Linked DNA regions of Elephas maximus indicus. The protein of the gene in region 1 interacts with the protein of each later gene in a pairwise test. Links are inferred from orthologs where the notes say so. Each region holds a gene or a part of one and is shown on either strand. Other genes may lie near its edges.

Region 1 (6,993 bases):
TCTATTGCACTCTATTTACTGAAAAATATTTGCGTTTTCCTTCTCTAACAGGTTTCCTCCTTACACAAGTTCCAGCTTTTGCAGGCTTTACTGTGTTATTATCCCCATTTCCCAGGCAACACAGAGACCCAGATTGCGCCATCCAGTAGAGCTTTCTGCCAGTGATGGAAATGTTCTATATCTGCACTTTCCAATATGGTAGCCAATAGGCATGTGTGGCTATTTAACACATGAAACATGGAATTGTGACTGAGGAGCTAATTTTTTTTATTTTAATTAAGTTTAATTTAAACAGCCACATGTAGTTAGTGGCTACTCCATTGGACAGCACAGTTTAGAAGGCTAGTCTAATGGAGAACACACGACTAGTTTGTGGAATAGCTAGAACTAGAACCATTGTGCCTCTGGTTCCCAGCATGGTGTCTAGTACATAATGGTGGTGGTGTTTGGTGCTGTAGAGTCAGCTCCAACTCATAGCAACCTTACATATAACAGAATGAAACGTTTCCTGGTCCTGTGCCATCCTCATGATAGTACGTATGTTTGAGCCCATTATTGCAGCCACTGTGTCAATCAATCTCATAAAGGGTCTTCCTCTTTTTTGCTGACCCTCTACTTTACCAAGCAGGATGTCTTTCTCCAGGGATTGGTCCCTCCTGAAAACATGTCCAAAGCAAGAGAGATGAACTCTCGCCACACTTGCTTCTAAGGAACATTCTGGCTGTACTTCCTCCATCTCTTTTACAAAAAGCCAAGAGTCAATAATGAGCCAGATTAAGAAGCTCACACATCAGGCCGAGTGACCAGGTGGCAGCCCAGCCACTCCTGCACTTCCTCCAAAAAAGGCATGCCCAGAAGGCAGTTTTGTGCCCTAGGGGAACCCTGAGTCAGCCCTGGATTTGAACTGCACATCGACCACCTGTGGGCTTATGATTTGGGGCCACAGTCTCAAACTCTTCTGAGCCTCATTTCCTAATCTATGAAATGGTGGTAATAATAATAACACATCGTATGGTTTTTATAAGGATTAAAGGAGGTAACGATAGCACTTAGCACAAGGTAGGCATTTAACCACATTAGGGCTCCCTGTACCATACTTCTCCCTTACCCCCATGCTCAGTAGAAGTCACTCATTTCACCATCTCCACCCACAGACCCATCGTCAGGCTTGGGGTCACGAGGACAGTGTTTTCTGGGCAATTTGCAAAAGGGTGTCGGCTAAGCCATGAGGCCTGCAGGGGCTCTAGGCTGCCTAGTACGTGTAAGAGTGAGCAATACACTCAGAGAAGGAAGGAAGTTTTCTCTCTGGGTGAAGGAGGACTTGTGGTTACAGGCATCAGAGAGTGATTCAGCACCCAGAGGAAACCATGAGAGGCCTGTCAGTCATCACCCAGGCCTCCTTTGAAAACCTTTCCAAGGTGGTAGAACAGCTGGGGACCCTGAGCAAGCCCCCTTCCACCATGAGACAAGGAAGGCTGTGTGGGACCTCCCAGATGTATAAAGGGACAACCAGATCTCACTCACCCCGAACCTGTCATGCAGCACTAGAAACTCTGCTTCCAGCCCTGGCTCAGACACACCTGTTCCCCAGAGAGTGGGGGAAGACAGATAGGGAACAGAGAGTCCATGTGGCTGATACCCAGGCCTTCATGCGGCACGTCCTCCTGGGCCAACCGAAATAGAGTGGGCAGGGAAATGTGAGCCCATCGGGGAGCTGGAAATGGAGAGGGAAAAAGACACAGTCCCCCTTCTCTAAGCCAGTCCCCCTCCCCCAGGAGATGTCCTAACCTTCTCTGGCCTCCAGGCTCCAAATCCAAGCAACAGAACCTTAACACTTGACCATGAAAGGGTATGTGGGTTTGAGGAGTGGGGGTAATTACCAAATATTGAAGACCTACTGTGTGCTCTCATCCAATACTCACAACAACACTATGTGATAGGGAGTCAACTATTCAACAAATGAAGAGACCAAGGCTTAAATGACTATAGAGGCTGTAGCGCCTAGTGGTTAAGCTTATTTTTGGCATAAGGGGCTTTGACATTTGATTGTCTGGATTTCAGTTTGAAGCTTTGCCATTATTAGTTGTGTCACTCTGCCTCCCTTTTCTCATCTTTAAAGTAAGGATAAAAATAATATTTCATCAATTTGTTGGATGATCAGGTGAGTTCCTACATGTCAAGTGCTTAGATAGGAACTGGTGCAAAGTAAGAATTCAGGAAACACTGGCTCGTATTATAATTAAGGCTATTAGGCAGAGATTCAAGCTATGAGAAAACAGCAGAGACCCAATACTCTGCCTTTAATCCAGAGCCTTCCTTACTTACTCATAACCACTTCATTTCTGCAAGCTTCTTACCTTCACCCTTCCCTCACCCCAGAGCAGACGTCCCTCTTGCCATCTACTCCAACTCAGTGACTCCCCAGGGCTGGGAGTCCCCTGCACCTGTGAGACCAGTCCCTAGACTCTGCGGACCTCAATGCCAGTGAAAGGGCCCACCCATAGGCTAGCTGCTCACTTCCTGGGCTCCGGATAGCAGGTGCCTATGGTCCAAACTAGGGGGTTGGAGTCAGATTGAAGCAGTGTCTTCATTCATTCATTCATCAGATATTTATTATGTGCCAGACATTGGAATAAATACTGAGAATGCAGTAGTAAACAAGATAGACCCAGTTTCTGCCCTCATGGAACTTGCAGTTTAGGCAGCAACAACAACAGTAATAATAAACAAGCAATTATTTAATTAAGAAAGGAAACCTGGCCCGAAGGGCAATTTAGCAATTTAGGAGTGGGAATCCAGGCAGGTGATGCAGAGATGGGAGAGGAGGGTCCTCCGGAGCCCCAGCATGGGAGGGAGTGGGTCCCTGCCCTGAGAGCTTGGCAGGACTCAGCCTGGGGAGGGGTTGGGGGGCCTCTGTGGGTACCTCAATCTCTAGATGCCCGAGGTTATTTCCAGGGTTGGTTTGTTGTCTCTTGTTTTGCAAACAGTACAGCAGAGCCTCCTTCCTCCCTCCCCCTTCCCTCCAGAGGGAGGCTATTTATTCCTAGTGACAAGCCTGAAGATCCCAGGGGGGGTGGCCTCAAGAACCTGGAGAGGCACCATGTCCCTGGCAGGTGCCAGCTCTCCCTCCCAGGCACAGGGAGGAAGCCAGAGGCTCAGAAACTGCAGAAAACGGGGGAGGGTTCCCTCCCCTCCATTATTTCTGCCACTCACATCCTCACACCCCTCCTAAAAAAAAAAAAAAAAAGCCCAAAGATCATGGGGCCAAGGATTAGGGTCTCCCCTGGGCATCAAAGGTCAAAACTATTTTTGGGCACTACGGAAATCAAGGCGGGATCTCACAGTGCCAGGTTTCAGCTGGGGTTGGGGAGGTAGTTACCTCTGTTTTTGCCGCTCAGGGTTGTGGAATAAGACTCTTCGAAGGTCAGGGCACTATAGGGAGGCCCTTTCTTCACCCCCTGTTTCCGGAGAACACCTGAGTTCCCACTGACCCAGCCGTGACAGCTGAATTGACTCCATCCCCTCCTCCAGGCTGGGTTAAGGCCTCCTACACACGCTCAAGCTGAGTGTGACCCCTGGGGAAAGCCGGTAGGGGGACACAAAGAGGGCATGAGGACTCTTTGGTCTCCTAGTAGACCCTGGTCTGCGGGGTCCACTGCCTCTTGTCCGGGGTTGAATACGGCAATCCCCCGCTTGCAGCTGGGGGCACAGAAGGGGAGACAGAGAGGACAGCAAAGGCTGCAGGGAGGGGGCAGGGGTGGGGTCCCTCCCTCCGGGAAGGTTGGGAGGGCCAGGTTAGGCTGGCCTGGGGGAGGGGGGTTGGGGCTGGCTCCAGTCTGAAAGGGAGGTGGGGGCGGGGCCTGGCCCCCAGCGGCCCGCTTGGGGGACCGGGGGCGGGGTCCGCACCCTGAGGGCAGGGGGGCCCGGGGGCGGGGGCCGGGCGGGGCGGGCTCCCGCGCTCACTTCCTCGGGGAGGGGTTGGGGCCAAGCTCCCACTCGCCCACACAGTCCGTCTCCAGCCGGCAGCCTCGCCGGCAGCTCGCTCGGCCGCCGCTCGGCCCGGCCCGCAGGTAGGAGCCGCCGAGAGACGCGACCCCCGGTTCCTGTCCCCACCCTCACGGGCGCTGCGCCCCGCTGCTGCCGCCTGCTTCGAGGTGAGCTCCCCGCCGACCCGGCTCTGAATCCCAGAGCCGGGTCCCCTCCCTCGGGCCGGGGAGCGGAGACAGCCCGCACAGGGTTAAGGACAGCTGCGGCTCCCGCCCCCTGCCCAGGTCCGGCCGGGGACACCGGGCACGCTGGGAGCCGGAGGCGCTGAGCACCGGAGCGCCGGCTGTCCCGACTGGACCGCTCCCGGCCGCCTGGCGGAGCGGGGGCTGCCTCGAGAGTGGGGCGGGGGAGGGGACGAAGTTTGAAATAGAAAAGCCAGAGAGACAGACTTCGGCCTGCAGAGACCGGGAGGGTCCGAGAAACAGGCTGGCAGAAACCTCGGTGGACCGAGACACCGGGACAGAGACAGGGACATGAGCGGTTGGCTTAGGCTCCGGGTCTGCGGAGACAGACGGGCTACAGACATAATGGAAACACGGACACAGACTTGGTGTACAGAGTCACCGAGAGACGGACCCGAGATATAGGGACAGATTAGGATTTTGTGGAGCATTTTAAGAAAAGACATTCATATGACCCCGTAAACACATTGCTAGGGCCTTTGAGTGCCCTGAACTTTATGTTTCTTTAGCTTCCTGGTAAGCCCGCCTCTGGATTCACTGTCTAGCTCAGAGGGTAGAGGTGGAGACACTGAGGCTTTCTAAAGACAGACTGTGAGACCAAGATTTGAGTGTACAGAGGCAGAGATCCAGAGAGGTGGTGGCCACCACTGGGAGATAGCTAGTCAAAGACAGACACCCAAAAACATAAGGAAAGCTGCTGAAGTGTGCTGAGACAGAGAAATTATGAGCAGAGCAGAGCCAGAACTCCAGAGACTGAGATTTAATGGGAGCAGAGAGACAGGCGAGCTGACAGCTTCCAAGATAGACCCAGAGACCCAGGCCAGGAAAGATGGGGAAGCCAGGATGTGGGGAAGCAGAAGCTGAGCCAGCTGAGCCCCCCGAGGCCCAGGACCTGAGACAGTGAGATTGAGATGAAGAAGCAGCCCCACGAATACACACAGCCACCAAGGCAGCCCCAACTTATTTTTAAACTCAAGTCTTGGATGCATTGCTTCAGCCCTGGGGGACCTAGGGTGAATGAACTCTTCCTCCCCTGTCCCCAGAGCAGCTGCCAGATCCTGTGCCCCATCCCTCTTTGCCTAAGCTTCTCTGACTTCCAGGTCCCTTGGGGGAACTGAAGGGGGAAAGGAGTTTGGGATTGGTGCCTGGTAGTGGGGAGTGGGGGAGTTTGGTTTCACCCCTTAAGACTCCTGTCAACTCCTGGGAGCTGGGGGAGGTGTCTGTCCTGATCCTGACTCACAGCTGTGGGGCCCTCCTGGACAGTTGGGGGCTGGAGGGTTTGAGTGGTTGGCATGGGTAATTGGAAAGGCTTCTGGGTGTCTTCCAATCGCAGAGCTGGCAGCTGGGGGGTAAAAGGGGAGAAGAGCCAAGCTCCAGTCCTGGTGATATTACCCAGCATCTCCTGTTTCCCTGCCCTCAAATACTGACCAGCCCCTCCACCACCACCAAACCCCTTTCAAAGGATTTCCAGGGAGAGAAGCGGGAATGGGCTCCAGGCTGGGTGGCAGAGACCTGGGCTTTCTGACTACCTGAGTGATCTTGGGCATGGCCCTGCCCTGGCATTCTTATGCTCAGCTGGAGAGTGATGCCTGTCTTTTGAGGCCTGATGAGGTAGTGGGTGTGAATGCTCTTTGGGAGGGCAAAGCTGCATGCTGGTGCGCACACACCTGTGCCTCTGGGATAGGTTGCAGGCAGAGATAGGCTTGCTGGAGCAGGGTGGCTGGGCCAGAGCCACCACTAGCCCTCCTAGTCTCCTCAGCCAGCCCCATGGGCCTCAGGGCCTCTTCTATTCCCCAGCTACACTGAGAAAGTACAGTTCCCTTACCTATGTCTTAGTTATCTAGTGCCTCTATAACAGAAATATAACACAAATGGGTGGCTTTAACAAACGAATTTATTTTCTGGAAGTTTAGGAGGCTAGAAGTCCTAATTCAAGGCGCCAGCTCTAGTAGGAGACTTTCCGTTGGCTCTGGGGGAGGGTCCTAGTCTCTTCTGAGCTTGTGCTCCTGAGCAATCTTCACATGGCTTGGCACCTCTCTTCCCCCATCTCTGCTTCTAACTTATGTTTAATCTCTTTTATATCTCAAAAGAGATTGACTCAAGATACACCCTACACTAATCCCGCCTCATTAACATAAGACAACCCATTCCCCAATGGGATTATAACCATAGGCATAGAGGTTAGGATTTACAACATGTATTTTTGGGGGTCATAATTCAATCTATAACACCAGGCCTGGCTGAGAAACTGCCATCTGACCCCACTATGAAAAATGGACTAATAATAAAAAGACCAACAGCCAACATTTACTGAGTGTTTACTATCTGCCAGGAAACCCTGGTGGCATAGTGCTTAAGTGCTTTGGCTGCTAACCAAGAAGTCAGCAGTTCGAATCCACCAGGCGCCCCCTGGAAACCATGGGTCACTTCTACTCTGTCCTATAGGGTCACTATGAGTCAGAATCGACTCGATGGCAGCGGGTTTGGTTTTTTTTGTTTACTATCTACCAGGTACTTTACAAGTATCACCCCATTTAAACCTTACAACAACCCTAGGAGGTAGAGAGTTATAATTACCTCATTTTATTAGATGGGAAAATAGGCTCAGGGAGCTTAAGTGACTTGCCCAAGGTCACCCAGCTTAGTAAGTGAAGGGAGCCAGGATTCAAACCCAGATTTAAGATTTTGCTCCACACACCAAGTCTGTTATCCAGCCATTCTGAGCTCTAGGAGGTTTGCTAGGAAGTGCCAGCTGTGTGTCTAT
Region 2 (7,620 bases), about 79 Mb from region 1:
TAAAAACTAGCAAGCAGCCATCCAAGATGCATCAACTGGTCTCAACCCACCTGGAGCAAAGGAGAATGAAGAACACTAAAGACACAAGGTGATTATGAGCCTAAAAATCAGAAAGGGCCACATAAACCAGAGACTACATCATCCTGAGACCAGAAGAACTAGATGGTGCCCAGCTACAACCGATGACTGCCCTGACAGGGAACACAACAGAGAACCCCTGAGGGAGCAGGAGAACAGTGGGATGCATACCCCAAATTCTCGTAAAAAGAGCAGACTTAATAGTCTGACTGAGACTAGAATGATCCCAGAGTTCATGGTCCCCAGACCTTCTGTTGGCCCCAAACCAGAACCATTCCCAAAGCCAGCTCTTCAGACAGGGATTGGACTGGACTATGGGATAGAAAATGATACTGGTGAAGAGTGAGCTTCTTGGATCAAGTAGACTGATGAGACTATGTGGGCATCTCCTGTCTGAAGGGGAGATGAGGGGGTAGAGGGGGTCAGAAGGTGGCGGAATGGACACAAAAAGAGAGAGTGGAGGGAAGCAGTGTGCTGCCTCATTAGGGGGAGAGCAATTAGGAGTATATAGCAAGGTGTTTATAGATTTTTGTATGAGAGTCCGACTTGATTTGTAAACTTTCACTTAAAGCACAATAAAAATTTTTAAAAAGCCGTCCACTTGCAGTATTTCTGTTATAGCAGCAATAGACGACTAAGACAGACTCCTAGAGGCAGGAAACGGGCAGGTGCAAAGACCCCCGAGGTCCTGGGCACCTAGGTTGGGCCCACGGTGGGGATAGGCAGTACCCCTTCTAGGACCCCACCCCACAAGGCGATGGTTGACACCAGGTGCACCCTTCTTACCTGGCACTGTGATAGATAAGGTGGTATCCTGGAGAAACCTCTCTGTCCAGTATACAGATGGCCTGGAATACACCAGCACAGCCCAGTGGGAGGGAGGCATGGGGTGCTCTGCTCGGAAACAGAAGCTCAGGGGCTCCCCGCACATACCCACAGAATGGGGGACAGTGACAGGGGAGAAGGGGCAGGAAGGGGAGCAGCTCCAAATGAGGGGCGGGGGCAGGTCAGAGAGGACAGTGGGGAGAGTGTCTCAGCCCCATGGGTTGTATGTTATTGTGAGCAAAGGCCCTGTTTGCGGGGCGGGGGAGGGGGGGTGGAGGTGTAACTAAGAACAGGGACGAATCATGAAAGTCGGCCCCCTTGGGGTGAGGAATGGCCCTGAGGAGAGTGAGCCTCCATCCTTGCCCTGGGGAAGAGAAGGGGGTGGCTCCAGCAGAGTGACCCCGGGAACCTGGCACGTTCCCCCACGGGATGGGGGTGGGGAGGGACAGCACTTACCAATAGAGGGAGAAGTGCAAGGTCATGTTGCAAGGGGAAATCCAGGCATAGCCCTGGCAGCAGCCCACCCTGCGATGAGAAGGTCCAGCCCCCACTGCCCTCTGCTCTGGGGCTCGCCTTGGGCCCACACTCCCAAATCTCCTGGACACCCACCAGGGGCACCTGCCCCCCAACGAGCCCCACCTCCAGTATCTTAACTGCTTATCCTCCCTCAGCACCCTTCCTAACTGCCTGGTCCCCACCTACCCTAACTCTGTCATGGGTGGGAACCTGGGGAGGGCCTGGGAAGATGCAGAGGGGACCCCGGGGGGGCACTTCCCCAGCTCGCTCCCCCAGGCCTCTAACTGGCATGCCCTCACCTGTCTTTCAAGACTTGCCAGTTGGTCTTGGGTCTTGCCAAATCGAAGACCCTCCTCTTCTTCCTCCCTCTGGGCACTGGCCACTCGTGGCTGATGGACAGCCGGCTTTGGGAGAATCAGAGCAGGCTTGGAGCAGGATTTTCTCCCCAACATGTTGGGGAGCCCAGAGCCACTTTTAGGTCTTGCTCAAGCATCTTGAATCTGCTCTCACCCCACCTAAGTGAGTCTTCTCCCTCAAAGGCACCTCTTTGGGGCAGCATTCTGGGGTCAAGAGGACTTGGGTATGTGGGCTTGGTCTTGTCACCTGACTGCCCAAGCCTCAGCTCCCTCCCCTCTGAGGTGGATGTGAGAATGGGTCCCATCTTCCAGGAGTGTGGTTGTGATTGAATAAGGTAATGTTCACTATCTCGCAAACATTTATCAAGCACCTACTGTATACCAGGCCCCGAAGGTGGAACTGAACCAGGACCCCTCGCTCTAACCTCTCCCCTCTGGCATCTGAATGCTGTCTGCAGACTCTACCATTGGCCACCTAGTGAACAGGGGGCTGTGTTCTCCCACTTTTGCCTCAAAGGCTAGTGGAGGTGCTGTCACCTGGGCCTATGGCCTTCATTCCCAGAACCACATTCAGAGGCCCCAGGAGGCAGCTCAGCCTCCTTCTGGTATCCAGGAGATGCGGTCTGGTTGTCATGGGTGTGGAGCTGGTGCTCCTTCTCCGTGTCCCCCCACTGCCCTGTGCCCCCCCACTGCTACATCCCGCTGCACCCCGCTGCCCCACTCCCCCCCCACTGCTCCATCCCTCCCCCACTGCCCAGCCCTCCCTTCCCCATCTCCCCTCCCCCGTCCCCCCCCCGTTGCCCCTACTCCCATGGCTTCCCTGTTCCCCGCCCCCGCTGCCCCGGTACCCCCGGTGCCCCATACTCCCCGCCCCCCGCTGCCCTGTACTCCCCTGTTGCCCCCTCCCCCGCCTACCTCACTTCAGGAACGTCCTCGTCCTCCTCCACGTCTTTCTGCAGGACCCTCTCCAGATTGGAAAGTGCCTCCTCCGCCTCCTGGCCCTGGAGGACTTCCTCTCCGGCCACCTCCTCTAGGGGAATGTCCTCCTCGTTGTCCCCCAGTCCCAGCGCAGCATCGTCGGGGTCCTGGTACTTGGGGTCCAGGGCCCCCTGGCTCTCGTTGGCGGAGTCCTGGAAGCCCAGGACATCACGGTCCTGTTTCATTTCTGCCTCACTCGCAGCCTCAGCGACATGGTTGTTGCTGGTCAAACTCGGCCTGTGGTCCCCCATGGGACCTCCTGGCCTTGCGCCTTCCTCCCTCAAAACCCAAGTGGCTCTGCCGTCGTCATGGCAACAGGAGAATGTCCCAGCACATTCTTGGGGCATTCTGACCTGTGCACTGTCCAGCCACCCGCACAGGACTGAAACTCCTCTGTGGCCTGGAGCTCAGACCTCCACCTCGGCCTCGCTCTCCCCTCCAGCCTCACTGGCCTCAGGGAGGCAGCCACTCCCTCATCTGTCTCTCTGCATCCCAGCTTCTTGCTTGATTTCTCCATGGCATTTGGCATTGCCTAAACAATGTCACAGGTTTTTCTTCCTCAGTGTCTGTCTCTGTCTTCCAGAAAGTTGTCTCCTGAGACCAGCGGCTGAGGTGAGCTACTCACTGCCGCTTCCCTACGGGCTGCAACAGAAAACGCTCCGCTCAACCCAAATGGATTCAGATTTGAATGTCAAAATAAAACTCTAAAACTTACAGAAAAAATTAAGGTGGAGTGGTACAAACATGTGGCACTCAGATGAGAACCTAAAGGTTGGTGGTTCGAAACCACTCCGTGGCACTGCGGGAGAAAGGCCTGGAGCAGTTCCACTCTGTAACACATGGGGTCGCCATGGGTCAGAATCAACTCAACAGCACCTTTTTTTTTTTTTTAAATCTTTCTGCCCTCGGGGCAGGGAAGGATTTTTTTTTTAAGAGACACAAAAAATGCCGACCATGAATTATTGCTAAATTCATCCATATTAAATTTAAACACTTCTGATAATCAAAAGATACCTAAACAAAATGAACAGACAAATCACAAATCTGAAGACAGTATTTGTCACATACATAGCTGATAAGTACCCGTAACACACAAATAATTCGTATATATCAGTAAGAAAAATGATGAACCAAGTAAAAATTAGGCACAAGACATGAAGAGACATTTCTCAGAGGTGAAAGCCGTATGGGAAACATTATATTATAGTTAGGCGTGGAATTGCATATTCCTTTTTTAACATATTTATTGTCTTTTTACCCTATTAGAGTCGAAGCTCCACGCCGGCTCGCGCAGTAACCAGCCGCTGAGCGAGGGAAGGAGGCAGCAGTACCTAGAGCGACCACAAGATGTCGCCCCACTCAAGCGCGCGGTGGCTTCTCCAGGCGTTAACGTCAGACCGAGGCCTTGTCCGCACATCCCGCTGCGTCTTCCCAAGTCTGTCCTTTGGTGGGTTTTGTTACCGTCACTCCCACTACACTGAGAGGAAAATAGGTTCAGAGAAGCGAGGTCACTGGCCCAAGATTGCAAAGGTCGGATCTCTCCAGAACCCAAAGCCTGCACTGCGGAATCCAGCGCTGAGGAAAGAGGAAGACCTTGGTGGAGGCTAAGGAGCCAGTGCAGCGGGAAATGTCCAGGGACTGCGGGCAGAACAGCGTCTTCCTGGGTCTAAATTCACCTCCCTGGATCAGCCAAAGCTGTGCCTTCCCTCACTCAGCAACGGTCTGTGGCTCCCACCTTCTACAAGAGCTCCCACGGGAGGGACAGACTGGTGGCTTCAAGGTGCCTGTAAGTGGAATGCAAGGCCAGGTTAAAAACTATCAAGCGTGGTGAGAAATCACTCCCTTTCCCTTTAACCACTGTCCCTCTGGCCAGAAACAAGGCTTCTGATATCAAAATCCTCCGTTTTGTTTTTGAAAGCACAGCCCCGTTCCTGAGGATAAGTGAGGAGACAAAACAGGATGAGCAAAGCTTCCTGCTTCCCACCCTGAGACTAAATTAATTCTCCCAAAGGGGGCGTAGCTAAAGGAGGGGGAGTCAAAGAGTAAACTGGGGGGGTGTCAACATTGGGGGGCCAGAAGAAGGCTGGCCAGGGACCACACCCACTCAGCCACCTGCCCCAGGGTCTGGGGACAGTGGAGAGCCCAGTGAGGCCGGGCGACCTGAGAGCAGAAAAGACAGCTCCTCCCCCTCAGACAGAGCCTGGGGGAGGTGGCATGGGGGCGTCCATCTGCTTTGCCCTTTATTAATATTTACCAGGGTCTCTCTCCCTCAGCACTGCTGACATGGGGGCTGGATCCTTCTCTAGGTTGGGACCGTTCTGTCCACTGCAGGGTGTTGAGCAGCATCCCTGGCCTTCACCCACTTGACACCAGTAGCACCCCCTCAGTCATGACAACCACAAATATCCCCAGACATTGCCCAGTGTCCCCTGGGGGCAGCATCACCCCAGGGAGAAGCCCTGATAGGTAGGGAGGCCTGGTTTGGTGTGCCAACCAGCAGGGCCCTGGGATTAAATACGTGCTGCCTGCTTTCATTAAAGTAGCAAAAATCTCACACTTGTACTTGAAGCTTTGACCCTTTGACCCTGAAAAGGAAGCTGCTGTTGGGTTTGGTTTCTCTGGTCCCAGTTAGGGGTCCATTTTCTCCCATAGCAGCAAGGCCCAGAAGGAAGTATCACCTGGAGTCTGGGCAGAGCTCAGAGCTGCGCCCACAAATGTCTGCCCACACAACTGGGCACCAGGGAGAAGACTAGGTCCTAGTGCCTGAAAGGATGCCGGGGTTGGCAGGGAGCGTGCCGGGCCTTTGCGTTCTGGGGTGTTTGGAATGTAGATGCCGTGGCTGGGGCCAAGATTGGGGTAGCCAGTTGCCAAGGCGTCGACGCCAACTCGTGGCAAGCCCCTGTGTATCAGAGTAGAACCGTGCTCCGTAGGCCTTTCAGTGGCTGATTTTTTGGAAGTAGATCAGCAGGCTTTCTTTTGAGGACCCTGTGGGTGAACTCAACCTCCGACCTTTCGGTTAGCAGGCAAGCACGTTAATCATTTACGCCACCCAGGGACTATGGTTGGGTTCGAGGCCTGTTAAAATAGAAGCTCCTTTTTCTTCGTGGGTGCAGTCCTGACTAGAATAGCAGCGCTCCACATTCCCCTGCGATGCCTGCCCAGCCCACAGTAGACGGGGGAGGAGGGGCATGTCCTTCCCCTTGGTATTTTTTAACTTTTTGGTGTCATATCCCCCACGCGTCTGTCGGTTTGTCATACTATGGGGGCTTGCGTGTTGCTGTGATGCTGGAAGCTTTGCAAGCAGTATTCAAATACCAGCAGGATCACTGTTATGGATTGAATTATGTCCCCCCAAAATATGCCTATCAATTTGGCTAGGCCATAATTCTCAGAATTATGTGATTGTCCACCATTTTGTCACCTGATGTGAAAAGCCTATCTCTGTGATGTTAATGAGGTGGGATTAGTGGCAGTTATGTTAAGGAGGCAGGACTCAAGTCTACAAGACTGGATTGCATCTTAAGCCAATCTCTTTTGAGATATAAAAGAGAGAAGCAAGCAGAGAAACAGGGGGACCTCACACCACCAAGAAAAAGGAGCTGGGAGCAGAGCGTGTCCTTTGGACCTGGGCTTCCTGCATGGAAAAGCTCCTAAACCAAGGGAAGATTGATGACAAGAACCTTCCTCTAGAGCCTAGAGAGAGAGAAAGCCATCCCCTGGAGCCGGCACCCTGAATTCAGACGTCTAGCCTACTAAACTATGAGAGAATTAATTTTTCTTTGTCAAAGCCATTCACTCATATTTCTGTTATAGCAGCACTAGATGACTAAGACAGTCTCCCATGGCAGACAGGTTTCAGCTGAGCTTCCAGACTAAGACAGACTAGGAAGAAGGACCTGATGGTCTATTTATGAAAAAATTAGCCAGTGAAACTTTATGCATAGCAGTGGAACACTGTCTGATATAGTGCTGGAAGATGAGCCCCTCAGGTTGGAAAACAAAAGATGACTGGGGAAGAGCTGCCTCCTCAAAGTAGAGTCGACCTTAATGACATGGATGGAGTAAAGCTTTTGGGACCTTCATTCACTGATATGACAAGACTCAAAATGAGAAGAAACAGCTGCAAACATCCATTGATAATCGGAACCTGGAATGTACGAAGTATGAATCTAGGAAAATTGGAAATCGTCAAAAATGAAATGGAACCCATAAACATCGATATCCTAGGCATTAGTGAGCTGAAATGGACTGGTATTGGCCATTTTGAATTGGACAATCATATAGTCTACTTTGCTGGGAATGACAACTCAAAGAGGTATAGCATCACACTCATCATCAAAAAGAACATTTCAAGATGTATCCTGAAGTACAACACTGTCAGTGATAGGATAATATTCATACACCTACAAAGAAGACCAGTTAATACAACTGTAATTCAACTTTACACACTGACCACTAAGGCCAAAGATGAAGAAATTGAAGATTTTTGCCAACTTCTGCAGTCTTAAATTGATTGAACATGCAATCAGGATGCATTGATAATTACTGGTGATTGGAATGTGAAAGTTGGAAACAAAAAATATGGATCAGTAATTGGAAAATATGGCCTTGGTGACAGAAACCATGCCAGAGATCAAATGATAGAATTTTGCAAGACCAATGACTTCTTCATTGCAAATACCTTCTTTCACCAACATAAATGGCAACTATACACGTGGACTTCACCAGATGGAATACACAGGAATCAAACCGACTACATCTGTGGAAAGAGATGATGGAACAGCTCAATATTATCAGTCAGAACAAGGCCAGGGGCTGACTGTGGAACAGACCATCAGTTGCTCATATGCAAATTCAAGTTGAAGCT
Region 3 (7,883 bases), on another chromosome or scaffold:
GCCCATTTGGGACTTCCGACCTCCAGAACTATGAGAATAAATTTGTGTTGTTTTAAGCTAGTAGATTTGTGGTAATTTGTTACAGCAGCAATAGGAAGCTAATATACCACAGTTCGGGACTTAGCTCATATCCAATAAACTACCTGGGCCTTGTTCATGACATTTTATATAATAGATTCTCAACAAATATTAATCAAATTGAATTGAGTCCTCTTCAAAAAAAAAAAAAACAACTTTAATGTAAACAATACTTTACCAAAGTATAATTTTCAAAAAGTTAAAAACATGACTCTTATTCACATATACTGTGAGCATATGCCAAACATTCATTTAACTCATCAACGAGAGAACCAGCAGGATGGCAAAGCTGGTTCAAAAGAAGATATAAGAAACTATGAACTATATACACAATGAGTCAAAAAATGCTCCAATAAGACTCAAAAGTTAAATGACTAATGTCCTGCAGGGCAATAAAACTGGCCCCTTTGGGATTATCTTTTCTACCAAGATGAAATTATCTCTACTGAAAAAAGTAATTTGCAACATGTCAACCTTCTATAAGTTAACATGGAACTTTACAGAGTCTGAGACCTCATTAACAGCAAATAGTAAGTCAAACACAGTTCCCTTCCCCTGGAACTTCAAATGATCCTTAGGCAGGCTTGTCAGGTAATGCTTTGTTATGACATTGAAAGAGAGTACACAATAATCTTTTTCCCCCTCATTTCCAAGTTTTGTATAATTTTTCTAAACAGACTTGTTCCAGTCATCTATTCCTGAGTAATAAATTACTCCAGATTTTGTTGTTGAAAATCACATTTTGTGCGTCAGGAATTTGGGCAAGGCTTGGATGAGTAATTCTTCTGCTGTGCTTGGTGTCAAATGGGGTCACTCAATAGTCAGTTGGCAGCTTAGCTGGTATGGAGAGTCCAAGACAGCTTCACTCAGATGCCTGCTGTCTTGACCAGAGTTGTTGGTAAATTAGATTCTGCTGGGCAGTTCTCCTTCTCTGTATAGTCTCAGGGCTTTTATGATCCTTGCAGCAAGATAACTGAGTATCTTGTATGGACTCACACTGCCAATCTTCTTAAAGACTAGATCCAGAAGTGGCATGGCATCACTTCTCCCATCCTTCATTGGTCAAAGTCCAGTTCAGATTCAAGGAGAAGGGCTCACAGAACGCACCTCTTAAGGGCAGTACTGTCAAAGCATTTGAGGCCATGTTTAATCCATCACAAGCTATGTTTTGTAAATTTCGATTTTCATTATTTGGGTAATCCTTTTTGTCCTAACATCTATTGCACCAAGGGTCCCCATTACCTTCTGGAAGGTTCACCACAGATTTCTTGGTTACATGAAAAATGACCCAGCGGCCACTCCAGAACTCTTCTTCTCCTTCTCTGTAGCCCTCTGCAAGCACTCACAGGCAATGCTTTCAGAGCAATGGTTCTCATAGTACTGGACCCAGCAGCATCAGCATCACCTGAATGCGAAGCTCTGGGGGTGGCATCTAGCAGTTTGTGTTTTAACAAGCCCTCTTGGTGATTCAGAGGCATCCTAAAGTTTGAGAATCACTATTTAGAGATGTATGTTACTTAATAAAAATTATTATCATTTGAAACTAGTCCCACAAGAATTCACAGAGCCTGTAAATAACACAATGGGTTATTTACAGCTTCTGGGGAAAGGACACAATGATGCCAAATAAAGCCTGGTGTAGTGGTTTTCTCTAATAGATGGCCTCTCTCAGTTATCAAAAGCCTCTTCCACCAACCTGGAATTTAGGAGACAGCTCTCTTCTTCCACCCACTCAAGGGATACTCTCAGCAGGGCCATACTTTATTTCTAAAGAATCTCTTGTGAAAAGAACTAGTGCCTTCTCCATCTTATAAAATCCCAGTAAACCACTCAAAAAAATTTTTCTCTTCAAGGGAATCCCATAATCTCCCTCATAGACCAGTGTCTTAGAGAAAAAAGGGGAATTTTTTTTTTATTATATGAAGAAGAACTCGGCATCAGGATTGGAGGGAGACTTGTTAACAACATGTAATATGCAGATAACATAAACTTGCTTGTTGAAAGTGAAGAGGACTTCAAGCACTTATTGATGAAGATGAAAAACTATAGCCTTCAGTATGGATTACATCTCAACATAAAGAAAACAAAAATCCTCACAACTGGACCAATAAGCAACAAAGAAAATACTGAAGTTGTCAAGGATGTCATTTTACTTGAATCAATAATCAACGTCCATGGAGGCAAAAGACAAGAAATCAAACAATAGATTGGATTGGCAAATCTGCAAATGACCTCTCAAAAGTGTTAAAAAGCAAAAATGTCACTTTGAGGACCAAGGTGCACCTGACTCAAGCCATGATATTTTCAATTGCCTCATACGCACGTGAAAGCTGGACAATGAATAAAGAAGACTGAAGAACTGACGACTCTGAATTACAGTGTTGGCGAAGAATACTGAATATACCATGGACTGGCAGAAAAAATAAATCTATCTTTGAAGAAGCACAGCCAGAATGCTCCTTAGAAGTGAGAAGCGAGAGATTCGGTCTCACTTGCTTTGGGTGTGTTATCAGGAGGGACCAACCCTTAGAGGTGGACATCATGCTTAGCAGAGGGTCAGTGAAAAAGAGGAAGATTCTTAATGAGATAAGTTGATACAGTGGCTGCAACAATGGGCTTCAACATATCTACCATTGAGGATGGCACAGGACCAGGCAATGTTTCCTTCTGTTACACACAGGGTCCCTATGAGTCGGGACTGGATGGCAACTAACAACGAAAGGGGATCTTATAATCTCCTTATAGACAGGTGTTTCATGAGAGAAAACAGGAATTTTTGTTGATCTTCTCTATATCTTGTTTCCTATTTTCTTAATTTCTGCTTTTATCTTCATTCTTTCTTTCCTTGGGTTTATCCTATAGTTCTTATTTTCAGGCTTCTCTAATTTCTTATATAAGCTGCTTTACCTATATCCTAAAAGTTTTGGCATGTTGCATTTATCATTCATTTCTAAGTATTTTTGACTTTCTATTGTGTTGTCTTAATTGGTCCATGAATTAGAGGTTTTATTTTAATTTTTTAATTTCTGAAAGTATAGGGTTTTTTTCTAACCTATTTTTAATATAATAATGAGAAAATATGGTGTGCAATATCAAGAATCAGAAAGCTTTTTTGCAAAGAGCCAGATAATAAATATTTTCAGCTTTGCAGGCAATATAATCCTCATTGTAAGTACTCAATTCTGCCATTGTAGCACTAAAGCAGGCAAAAACAGTATGTGAATAAATGAGTGCAGCTGAATTTCAGTAAAACTTTATTTATTAAAACAGGCAGCTGCCCAGATTCGACCTATCGGCCATAGTATACTATCTCCTAGTCTACCATTTCGGTGTTAACTGTTGAGACATGCTGTTACCCAGTACACGAAATTTTGTAAAGTTCTATGCATGCTTGAAAACCAATTATCGTGCTATCCCAGGCCTGCTTGCACTTCTTAAGGTTCAGGCCTGGCCCAGGTAAACATTTGCTTTTATCCTGACACAGTGATCGAGAGATTGGGCTTTTGGAATCAGAGAGACCCAGGCTACCCCTACCTACTTAGCCACTGGGTGACCTGGGGCAAATTACTGAACCTCTCTAATCCTCAGTTTTCTCATTTATAGAATGGACAAAATAATAGTATGTACCTCATGGGGTTGACATAAGGATTCAATGAGATAAGGACTATGTAGAGCACCTAGCAGAATGCCAGGCAGGCTTCAACCATTATTAGTAGTAGTAGGTTCAATCATTGTGTCATCGAATCACTTACTCCATCCAACAAACAGGTATAATTATACCCATTTTACAATCAAAGAAACTAAGGCACAGAGAAGTTCAGATTAACTTGCCCAATATCTCTTAGCCAGTATCAAAGCATTGATTCTCACCCTGAACTACTATTCCCAAATGCAACGTTCCCCATACTCAGGCTGATTAATCCGGTCACACTAACAAGTGAGGAATTTACTATACGCCACTCCTAGGCGAGGCTGCATTTTAAGAGACACCCAGAGAAAGGAGTTGAGAAAAGGGTTGCGAAACGCACAAGAATTAATTCCCAGTCGTGCAAGTTTAGTCCTTTACGAGGAAAGAGATGGTTCAGTAAAGACAAACGGGATTAAAGAGCAGTAAGCAGCCACCAGACTTTGGAAGCTGGGTGCCAAGGTTTATAACCCGGACAAAGTCTTTTCTGGACTTGATCCTCTAACGGAGCGGTGTCACCCAGCGGCGCCCCCAGGCTCCTCGGCCTCCATGACCTTGCTGTCGTCCCACCAGGAAGGGAAACGGCGGGGCTGCCCTCTGCGGTTCTCCACGTGCCCGAAGCGCCCGGCGCCTAAAAATACCACCCTAATTCAACCGCCGGAACATGCCTTCGGCTTTTTACAAAACGGGGCAGTCATCACTTGAAACCACATAAATCACAGCCCTGGGCTGCTGTTGATTCTGCGGGTAATGCGCCGCTGACAGTGAGACACATTCTGCCCTTTACGATGACTATGAATTTATCTTTTCGCTCTCTGCTTGGCGCAGATCGTATCGTGAGGACACCGAGCAGTTGGGGAAGCTCCATTTCTCCCAGCCCAGACTAAACCCGGGGCCCTTCACAGCCATATCCTGTGACAATCACACGGGTTTCCTCCGCCCCGCAGCTGACGGAAAACTCGTGACTGTCTTTCAGCTCCGAGGTGAGCGCGGGGCGGGCAAGCAGAAACAGGGGGCGGAGCTGCAAGTCCCCGACTCGCAGGACGCCCCCGATGGGCAGCGCCTGCGCAGTCTCTCGCCACGGGACCTCCTTCCCGCCGCCAAGACTAGGAAGCGGGACGCCAAATCTGTCCCTGCGCAGCCGCCGCCGCCCTGCGCCCAGCGGGGCGGCCGCCCTCCCCCAGGCGCGCCTGCGCACGTTCCCACGCACGCTCCGGGCGTACGGCGGCGGCCAGGGGTCGCGAGCCGGTGGAGGACCCGCTCGCGGAGAAGCCCGGAGAGTCAGCGTTTCTTCCCTCCCTCCCCTACTCCCCTCCCCGCTCCCTCCCCCCCCTTCCCAAGAATGTTCCGCTACGAGGTGAGCTGTTGCGGCCGGAAGTGACCCCTCCCTCCCTCACGCGCCCCTCTTCCTCTCGCCCCCCCCCCGGGCGCGTCCGTCCCGCGCTCCTGGGTGGGGGTTAGGGGACAGGTGGCGGGAGCCGCGGGACAGCGGAGCACCACCACCGGGGGTCATCGGTCTAATCCGAGGGCTGTGAGCCGGTCTCGGGGGGTCGGGACTGCCCCATCAATTCCGCTGGGGAGAGCTGGCCTCTGTTTTGCGGTGGGGAGGACCCGTTAACCGCTGTAACCAGACTCCTCCACCTCTGTCCCGGGAGGAGCCCAGGAGGGGACCGGTGTGCATCAACCCCGTGACCATTCCTGAGGAGGTAGAGTCACCCGGGGACGCCCAGAGACGCGTTTCCCGCCCTGGAGTCTGCACCTCTTCTCCCCCGGTTACTGACACTCACCCATACACACTTAACAACCACCCGGTCAGGGGAGCGGGGACTTGCCGTTTGACTGGGGCCCTGACTGTTTACTAATGAGAGCCCAGAGTTGGGAGGGGGGCGTGTCCAGCAGAAGTTTTCTTGAGTGGAGGGAGACCTGGGTTTGGTGACGGATGCCGGGAATGTAGCAATAGTTCTGACCGTGTCACTAACCCACTGTGTGACCTTCAGTGACTCCTTATTTTTGGGCAAAGGTTTCTGTATTTGTGAATGAAAGGCTTGTCTGGATTCTTTGTGATTCAGAAAGGCGGTGATTTGGTTAAGTAGATCTCTGTGATTTGGAAGGGCGTGCTGCTGGAAGTTGCCTCTGATGTGGAGGGAATTGCATGTCTGCTTTATATAAGTTTGGGAGGACTTAGAGATGGGTAGAGTGGCCCTTTGGCCTAATCATTCCTTTAGGAACAGCGTAGCTAAGAGGTAGCCAGGCAAGATCATTGTCAACCTACTTACTGAGAGATTGTGACATTCCAGTTCGGAGCCTTTGGAAATTGTGAACAGATGAGCTCCATACTTGATGGGAGAGGTCCTAGACCAAACTGATCTTATGTAAACATAAAGAGATGATGGGATAAAGTGGGCAGAAGTTGCCAAAAGAAAACATGGAGAATAAATCTATTGAAGAGTGAAGTGGAAGGGGAAAATGTTTAAAATGGAGCACCAAAACCGATACAGTGATATCTAGCATTTGTTCAGCAGCCCATTGCTACTGCTTTTGATGCTAACAACTCTCCAAGATAGGTGATACTGTACCTGCACTGCAGTTTAAGAGACTGAGGCTTAGAGCCTGAAACATCATAGGTACTCAGTCAGAAAGAACATGACTTGTGGGACCGGAACTTGAATTTGCCATGTTGCAGCTTTTTCAGAATTCACTTACTGGTTGAAAATTTAGCCTTCTGTTTTGTCACTAGAATTTGAGCCTGTAGAAAAAAGAAGAGAGAAGGATGGAAAATGCAGAGAAAGCTTTACAAGAGAGTAGCAGTTGAAAAACACAGCATGGATGTAATAAGGAAAATGAGATTTTGGTTGAAAAAAGATGTATAATACTCAAGCAAAATAATGAAGCATTTATTTTCATTCTCATTTTACTCCAACCAGTGATGTAAAGAAAGTTTCAGGCCTAATTTCTGGTTACGTGGGGAAATGTTACTATTAAATTCTTGATAAATTAAAGAAATGAAACACTTGGGAAGCAAGATTAAATGAAGTAAGGAACAGGAAATAGTAAATGAAAGAAAGGAGGATACTGGAATCTTCCAAGTCAGGCAAATTGGGAAGTGGAGGAAATGCCATCTTCACAAAAAGTCATAGTAAGGCTATTATGATCATTGGGAAGAGAAAATGAACATTTTTAAAACAAGGATGTAAACTTGATGAATAGCTAATACCTTTTCTCCTCTTTTTCAGTCTTTGGAGGATTGTCCTCTAGATGAAGATGAAGATGCATTTCAGGGCCTAGGAGAGGAAGATGAAGAGATTGATCAGTTCAATGATGATACATTCGGGTCAGGTGCAGTTGGTAAGTGGCATCTTTCTTTCTCATATCATCTTGGTCTCTTACTCCTTTATCAGTGCTTTGTCTTCATAGTAGACCTTCATTCGCTAATTTGGCAAGACATCTTCTATTCTTAGAATAGTTCGGTCTTCACTAGAAGCATCTACCCTCCTCCTCTGGGCCTCTTTTTGCCTCACTTTTTTTTTAATAAAACCAGGTATTCTCTAAGGCCTGTCCCTTCTAGCTATATGACCTATAGCTCAAGGTTGACAGTATATAGTTACAGAAGTAGACATTTGAAAGAGGTTTGAAATAATCCTAGAAGAGAGAAATTTTTATGTGTAGAACACATAACTTAAGTGAAGGGAATATACAGCGAACTAGAAGAAAATTCAGGTTCTGGGGTATGTGTGAGTTTCTTTTAAAATTCAGTCTATCAGTAACATATTGCTTGGCCTCACTGTTGTCTTATATTATTTTTAATAAAATAGAAGCTTTTTATCCCAAGGAAACCCTGGTGGCATAATAGTTAAGAGCAATGGCTGCTAACCAAAAAGGTCCACGGTTCAAATCTACCAGGCGCTGCTAGGAAACTCCATTGGGCAGCTCTACTCTGACCTGTAGGGTCACTGTGAGTCAGAATCGACTCAACAGCAATGGTTTGGTCTTTTTTTTTTTTTAATCCCAAAGAATGCTGACGATAAGATTTCATGAGTTTAAAAAAAAGTTTTGTACGCAAATGAAATTTTTCCATGTTTGTTTATAGAATAAATATTTTTAGAATTGGAAAAAGTCAAAG
Region 4 (7,138 bases), on another chromosome or scaffold:
GACCACCATGACTGAAACACAACAGAAAACATGGAAGTGCCTTGAAAGGATTAGCTACCATGTGAACACAAAGGTTTGCTAATGCCTTCAAATTGAAAAGTGGAATGAGAAAGGCATGAAATCCAAGAGAGGAAAGGCTCTTCACATTTCATGTATAGACTCTTGAAAATGAGGGGTGGAGGATGCTGGATTCACAGAGGAGAGGAGTCAAAGGCACAGGAGCTGTAGTAACCTGGGGAGTGAGGGTAGGGGAAGGAGCACTTATTGTGTGCCTAATACGTGCTCAGTGCTGGGTTATCTCATTTAGTCCCCAAAACAGGGGGCACTGAAAGGGATGCAACAAGTTTCCTCATTTATACATGAGGCAACTGAGGCTCAAAGAGATGAAATAACTTGCTCAGGGTCATAGCTGAGAATCAGAGCTGAAGCTGAGATTGAAATGCAAGCCCAGCCAATCCCAAAGCCCAGTTAGAGAAATGGGGGTCCTGTGCAGATTACCTTCCCTTTGGCCACCCACCCGCTGGCTTCCAGGTGAGTGGCCAGTGAGGAGTCCCAGTAGGAGGTGGGAGGGACCAAGAGTGAATCAGGGTATCTTCTTCCCTGGCTTCCTCTCCATGGGATGGCCTAGGGTTTGCTACACCCTTCTACTGGAGGTTGAAGCTTCTCTTAAGGAATAACGACTCCCTCCCTTCACCCCTTCAAGCTTCGGGATGGCAACAGTTATGCTGTGATTATCAACCAAGGGTGATTCCCCCCTCAAAGGATATTTGGCAATATCTGGACACATCTTTGATTGTCAGGACAGGGAGGGATGCTACTGGCATGTAGCGGTCAGAAGCCAGGGATGCTGCTAAACATCCTGACAAGCAAGGTCAGCATGGTCTGAAATGTCAGCAGTACCAGAGGTTGATAAGCCCTGAGCTATGCCGTTATCACCCTGAGGCACCGCACTGTCCCTCGTTTCCTTGTACCCTGCCTATACCCTGGAAAACAGTCCCTTTATTAAATCCTCCTCAAATTATCCTAAGGTGAGTGTGCCATCTGTTTTCCTCCTGGGGCCTGACTGATAACATAGCCTTCAAAAGGAAAACCACACTTACCCTGGCACTCGCAGGGGAGGAGAGATGTAAGCCGGAAAACACCTACCTCAGACAGCCTAGCCCTTCTCCAGGTGATGCTGCAAGGCACAGCCTGGGCCTCAATCACGCAGCTGCACTCCATGGACTGCAGTGCCCCGAGGAGCTGGCCCCCGCCTTCCATCTGTAAGAGCACTGCAACAGATGGGACAGGGGCTGTCAGTGGATGGCCCGGAAAGCAGAAAACTCAGCACAGGGTGAGGTAAGAGGCAAGGAGGACCTGGATCCAGGACAGCAACGATGTGCTTTAAGCATTCCTCTGGCCTCTGGGCTTTCAGCCTGTTTGCCTGCAAGGCCTTCTTCTTCCTCTCCTGTTGCCTCAGGGTGCTTTCCTTCTGGTTCACTTGTCCCTGATGCCCGTCTTTTGCCCGGGCCTTCTGACTGTGCCTGGTTCTTTTCTGAGGCATGGGGACCTCAGAATATGTTGTTACTGTCGAGCTGTTGTCCTGGACAGGGCAGGTAGATTGGTAGGCTGGAAGCTGACGGGATGGGTTGTCTAAGATAGGATGCTTGTTATTTGAAGCGCTCCTCTCTGAGGTATCATGGAGGGGAACACCAGGGATCTCTGGAAAGGGCTGTTTTTTCCAGTCACATAATGCTCCTTCATTATTGTGGTGATCTAAGACACTTTTAACTGGGGAACTAGAGTCCTCAGGGCTTGGCTGCTGCTTGCGGGTCAAAAATTTACACTTGAGCCTCTCAGCCAGGGGAATAAATTCCTCCTCACCCTCACTTCCACTGCTTAGCACCCTGACTGGCTCTGTTTGTGTGACAGTTTCCCATGTGTCCGAGACAGGTGGTAGATCTTTCATCCCTGGTGATGGAGGGCAGGAGGCCTTAGAATCTGAGGCATTAATCACTACAATCTTCCCCTCCCTCTGAGGCTGCCATCTCTTTGAGGAAGATGGTTTCGTTTTCAGAAAGGCAAATACTGGCAACTCCTCAGAATCACTCTCACTGGAATCCACTAAGAGTGATGTTTTCCCTAGAGCCATCGCTATGTGCTGTCAAGGTAATTACCTTAAAAAAAAAAAAAAAAAAGAGATGAGACAGACTGTGGCATTCAATTTGATCCACTAAATGTGTTCTATGGCCAAGCCTTATGGAAATAAATCTGAGATACAGAGAAACAGAGAAATAGGATGTGGCCCCAACACATTTCAATCTGGAACTCAGAACAGCTATGTCTGTAGTCTGACAGGCCTTGTTATGTGCTGTCAAGTCAATCCTGACTCATGGCGACCCTTTGTGTCAGAGCAGCACTGCCCCACTGGGTCTTCTAGGCTGTAATCTTTTGGGAGCAGATCACCAGGTCTTTGCTCCTGCAGAGTGGCTGGGGGTTTGAACTGCAGGCATTTCAGTTAGCAGCCGAGCACTTGGGCTCCTTAGTCTAACAGGAACCCTCCTCAAATCCCTTCTAGGACAAGGAGTGGGTATAAACAAAGTGGAGGTTACAATTACAAAATTTTAACGGAGGTACTAACAAGACTCAACACCACCCCCTTGTTGATTTCTGCATTTGAGATGGAGATACCAAAAGTCATTTTTTTCTTTTTAGTTGAGATAAAATTCACATACCATAAAATTCATCCTTTTAAAGTGTAGACTTCAGTGCTTTTTAGTATATTCACAAGGCTGTGCAACCATCACCACTATCTAATTCCAGAACATTTTCATCACCCCAAAAAGAAACCCTATGCCCATTAGCAGTTACTCCCCATTCCTCCCTTCCTCCAGCCCCTGGTAACCACTATTTTCGGTCTCTGTGGATTTGCCTGTTCTGGGCATTTCACATAAAGTGGAATCATATAATATATGGTCTTCTGGGACTAGCTACTTTCGCTTAGCATGATGTCTTCAAGGTTCATTCATGTCGGAGCCTGTATCAGTACTTCATTGTTTTTATGGTTGAATAATATTCCATTGTGTGGGTATACTACATTTTGTTTATCCTTTCACCAGTTGATGGACATTTGGCTTGTTTCCATTTTTTGGCTATTATGAGTAATGTTGCTATGAGTATTTGTGTACAAGTTTTTGTGTGGGCATGTTTTCTTGGGTATATGCCTAGCAGTGGAATTGCTGGGTTCTATGCAAGAGTTGGAAACCCCGGTGGCGTAGTGGTTAAGAGGTACAGCTGCTAACCAATATGTAAGCAGTTCAAATCCACCAGGCGCTCCTTGGAAACTACAGGGCAGTTCTACTCTGTCCTATAGGGTCGTTAGGAGTCGGAGTTGACTGGACGGCAACAGTTTTTTTGGAGGGGGGTTTATGCAAGAGTCAGGAGTCTTGGTGGCACAATGGTTAAACGTTCTGCTGCTGACCCAGAAATCTGTGATTCGAACCCACCAGCTGTGGGATAAAAGACCTGTAAAGATTACAGCCTTGGAAACCCTATGGGGCAGTTCTACTCTGTCCTACAGGGTCGTTATGAGTGGGAATCAACTTGAAGGCACACGACATGCAAGAGTCATCTTGTAAACATTTACTAATACTATAGATGTGACCCCAGGTGAGCCATGTAACTTAATGAGCCGATTTCTTTTTCAGTAAAATCGGGAAAATAATATCTGCATAAGGTTACGACAATTAAATGAAACAACTCATCTACAGCGCTTAGTATAGTATCTGGCACACAGCAACCGCTCCATAAAGTAACCTAAATGACGAGGGAAGAAGCCTCATCTGTGCCCTCGCTGGGCCTCGGTTCACTCCTGCAAAACGAAGGAGTAGGGCAAGAGGGCACCTGCCGGGCACGCTCCGCGCCTCATGCCAGCACCAGGCCGCGGGCGTCCGCAAGTATCATCCACATGCCCTGCAGGGACCCCTGACCGCCCTGTCACAAAGCCTTCCGTTACGGGGCCCAGTAAGGAAGCCCTGGCCAGGCCAGCGTAACACTGAGCGCTCACCTGCAACTCTTGGCGCTACCCGTTCCAGTGCGGCGCAGGACCCGGAAGTAATTCTCCTGGTAGCGGAAGCAGAAGTTTTGAGATCGGAAGCTTGTGTACAGCAAACATGGCGTTGGCGGTGGCGGCGCTGAGGGCGCGGACAGCTGGTAACGGATGCTGCAGGGGCGGTGTGCAGCCCGAGCCAGGAGGCCGGGGGGTGGGGGGGTGGAGGCCATTCCCCGCGGAGGACTCTGGCCGCGCCGGGTAGTGTGCCAGGCGCAGTGCCTTGAGCGCGAGGCTTGAGGGTCGGCTATCGCAGATCACGTGACACCGCTAGGGGCCGGTACGGGGGGGGGGGTTATCAAGGAACACGTGACCTTGTGTCTCTTTTGGTGCATGCATTGCTTCCCTGGCGCTTGGTGACAAGCGTCTCTGGGTCTGTGTGGATCCTTTCATCTATCAAATAGGCTAATAATACACTGTAGCTCAAAAAGGAAATGCATTCATTCAACAGATTGAGGGCTTCTGTTGTTGGGGATCCGAACAGAACGTGAAGACAAGGTCCCTAAGCCTTGCACAGTTTTTTCTAGTGAGTGAGCCAATAAATAAGTAAATAAATAAAATTGTTGTAAATCGTGACAAGTGAAAGAAACAAAAAAATGAAAGTGTGTATCTTTTGAGATTGGGTGGTCAGGGAAGTTCTCTAAGGAGGTAATGTTTAAGTTAAGACCTAAAGGATGACAGGAGGCCTGGGTCTGTATAGCATGAGAGCCAGGAGAGTGACTTAATCCAGTTTTACATTTTGAGAATCAAATATCGGTATTGTGTGGAATTAAAGGGGATAGGAGTGGAGATGAGGAAACCAGATGGGAAACTTGTAGTAGCTCTAGAGATGATTTAGCCAAGATGGAAGAAAAATTAAAAACCCAAACCCAGTATAGGGGAGTCGATGCTGACTCATAGTGATCCTGTAGGTTGGAGTAGAGCTGTCCCATAGCATTCCCAAGGAACGGCTGGTGGATTCAAAGCGCAGACCTTTTGGTTAGCACCTGGGCCCTTACCCACTGTGCCACAGTGAACTCAGAGGGAAATGGATGTATTTGAGATCCGTTTTGAAGGTAGAATCAACAGAGCTTGCTCCTGAACTGGATATGGGAAGTGAGCAAAGAGATGGAATTTGCAGTGATTTTGTTTCCACTTGAGTAACTGGGTAGATGGTGGCACCATTTACTTTGAGGAGGATGGGGAGTAGGGTAAAGGTTTGTGAATGAGCTCATGTAGGTAAATCATAAGCCCGGTTTTTGAGTTTAGTAAGTGAGTGAATGATCGAATTAATAGGTGTTTAAAGGTAAGTAGGAAACCCTGGTGGCTAGTGGTTAAGTGCTATGGCTGCTAATCAAAAGGTTGGCAGTTTGAATCCACCAGGCCCTCCTTAGAAACTCTGTGGGGCAGTTCTAACCAGTGCTATAGGGTCACTATGAGTTGGAATTGACTCGACAGCAACGGGTTTTTGTTAAAGGTAAGTAGGCCCCAGTGCTGGGCGTTCAGCAAGTTTTCATTTATGGTCCTTTGCCCCAACTGAAAATGCTGCCGATGTAGTGGTTAAGTGTTAGGGCTGCTTACTAAAGGTCTGAAGTTCGAATCCGCCAGGCGGTCCTTGGAAGCTCTATGGGGCAGTTCGACCGTGTCATATAGAGTGGCTATGAGTCGGAATCAACTTGAAGCAGTGGGTTTGGTTTTTTGGCTTTGGTTTGCCCCAACTAGTCTCTGGTCCTGATTATGTTGTGTCTGGAGAACTGAAGGCAGGGACTGCCAGCCCTGCACTTGTCATACAGAAAGGGGTCCCATCTTGGTTAGTATGAATTTAAGTTCATTTTCCTTTTTAAAATAAATGCCATTGAGCACTTTGGAATGAGTATGGAGATATCATATTAACAAGGGCAGGCTGTTGGTTTTCTCAGTGGGACTTCTGTTTGATGGGCTTTGGGAAGAAACAGTCCAGCTTTCTGAAAATGACCAGGAGCCTGTGGGAGCTGCCCTCAGACAAGTTCCCCATTTTGTTTACAAGTACCTGGTATGTTGGTGTGCAGTGGATGGTGGATAGCTTAAAAAGGAGCCCACAATGAGTGAGGCCAAAGAAGCAGCCTCTTTCTGGGTGTCCTGTTGCTGGGCTCTGTGGTCTGGTCTTGAGGGCATAATGGTGAGTAAGGCTGAAGCAGGCTGCTCTGTGGTGTTCTCTTGCTGGCTTCTGCTATTTTTGTGGTGTTTATTTCATCTGTGCAGAACTGAATGCGTCAGGACCCAGGGCACATGGTGTTTATTTAATTTTTTCCATTTATATTTCAGTACCCCCCACACATACTTTACCCAGTGCTTATACCATAAGGAATGAGTTGTCCCCTTGGAGAAGGCCAGGGACTTCTAGACACTCCCTGAAAGTCAACACACTCAAGTGGCATTTCTGCTCCCCCGTCACATCTCCCTTACCTCCCCTCCCACCGCCTCCCCTTTCACCTCTCAGCTTAGTAAATAGCCCATTGAGGCCAAGAAAGAGCCTGATTGAGAGCCTGTCTGTCTGAACAATGTTTCTGCTACCTCTCTGTAGTTACAGCTCTGTTGAGCCCCCCTCAGGCTACAGCTCTTGCTGTCAGATATGCTTCCAAGAAGACAGGTGGAAGCTCTAAAAACCTTGGTGGAAAGTCATCTGGCAGACGCTATGGCATCAAGAAGATGGAAGGTGAGAATATGTCTTGGCTTTTGTTTCCCAGCTGCACCTACCCTGCTGCTCCTGATGTTTCTTAGAAGAGCAGAGAGACCATGCAAGTGCCTGGGCCTGTACTCTCAGTTTAGCCCACCAGAGCGGAGCGTTTGTCTTTGGAGTAAAGGGGCAGATGAGATCTGAGGAGGAGTAGGGAGCCTTGGGGAGGGGTGGGTAGGTATGAACCTTGGCTTTGTGACTAGAGAAAAGGGGGTTGGAGGACAGGGGGTTGCTTGTGTTGGACCATGTGGAAGTTGTTTCTGGTCGGGGGTGGTATGCCGCATTTGAGCCAGGAAGGTGAGAACTGTCGTGTTTTCTTAGCAGTGTGTTGTGCTGTCCCAGTAACTGGGGACCAA

Evidence for each region.
Region 2: the proteins of FHL3 (region 1) and THEG interact in binary tests that used the Homo sapiens proteins (3 or more experiments, as listed by UniProt). The two-hybrid records come from large-scale screens. The link is inferred for Elephas maximus indicus from reciprocal best matches to the Homo sapiens genes FHL3 and SPMAP2.
Region 3: the proteins of FHL3 (region 1) and PATL1 interact in binary tests that used the Homo sapiens proteins (3 or more experiments, as listed by UniProt). The two-hybrid records come from large-scale screens. The link is inferred for Elephas maximus indicus from reciprocal best matches to the Homo sapiens genes FHL3 and PATL1.
Region 4: the proteins of FHL3 (region 1) and MRPL27 interact in binary tests that used the Homo sapiens proteins (3 or more experiments, as listed by UniProt). The two-hybrid records come from large-scale screens. The link is inferred for Elephas maximus indicus from reciprocal best matches to the Homo sapiens genes FHL3 and MRPL27.

What each region holds. Positions count from the first base shown.
Region 1 is NC_064821.1:79,579,904-79,586,896, reverse strand, and holds the start of FHL3 (four and a half LIM domains protein 3), read left to right. Parts: upstream 1-3,983; 5' UTR 3,984-4,154; intron 4,155-6,993. UniProt on the Homo sapiens protein: Recruited by SOX15 to FOXK1 promoters where it acts as a transcriptional coactivator of FOXK1.
Region 2 is NC_064821.1:158,818-166,437, forward strand, and holds the start of THEG (testicular haploid expressed gene protein), read right to left. Parts: upstream 3,005-7,620; coding exon 2,691-3,004; intron 1,824-2,690; coding exon 1,719-1,823; intron 1,429-1,718; coding exon 1,360-1,428; intron 927-1,359; coding exon 865-926; intron 1-864. UniProt on the Homo sapiens protein: May be involved (but not essential) in spermatogenesis.
Region 3 is NC_064825.1:122,446,824-122,454,706, reverse strand, and holds the start of PATL1 (protein PAT1 homolog 1), read left to right. Parts: upstream 1-4,879; 5' UTR 4,880-5,105; coding exon 5,106-5,120; intron 5,121-6,996; coding exon 6,997-7,108; intron 7,109-7,883. UniProt on the Homo sapiens protein: RNA-binding protein involved in deadenylation-dependent decapping of mRNAs, leading to the degradation of mRNAs. Acts as a scaffold protein that connects deadenylation and decapping machinery.
Region 4 is NC_064837.1:43,281,610-43,288,747, forward strand, and holds the start of MRPL27 (39S ribosomal protein L27, mitochondrial), read left to right. Parts: upstream 1-4,119; 5' UTR 4,120-4,151; coding exon 4,152-4,191; exon of another isoform or gene 4,192-4,227; intron 4,228-6,629; coding exon 6,630-6,761; intron 6,762-7,138. Other genes in the region: crossover junction endonuclease EME1, read right to left, coding at 1,147-1,271, 1,357-2,131.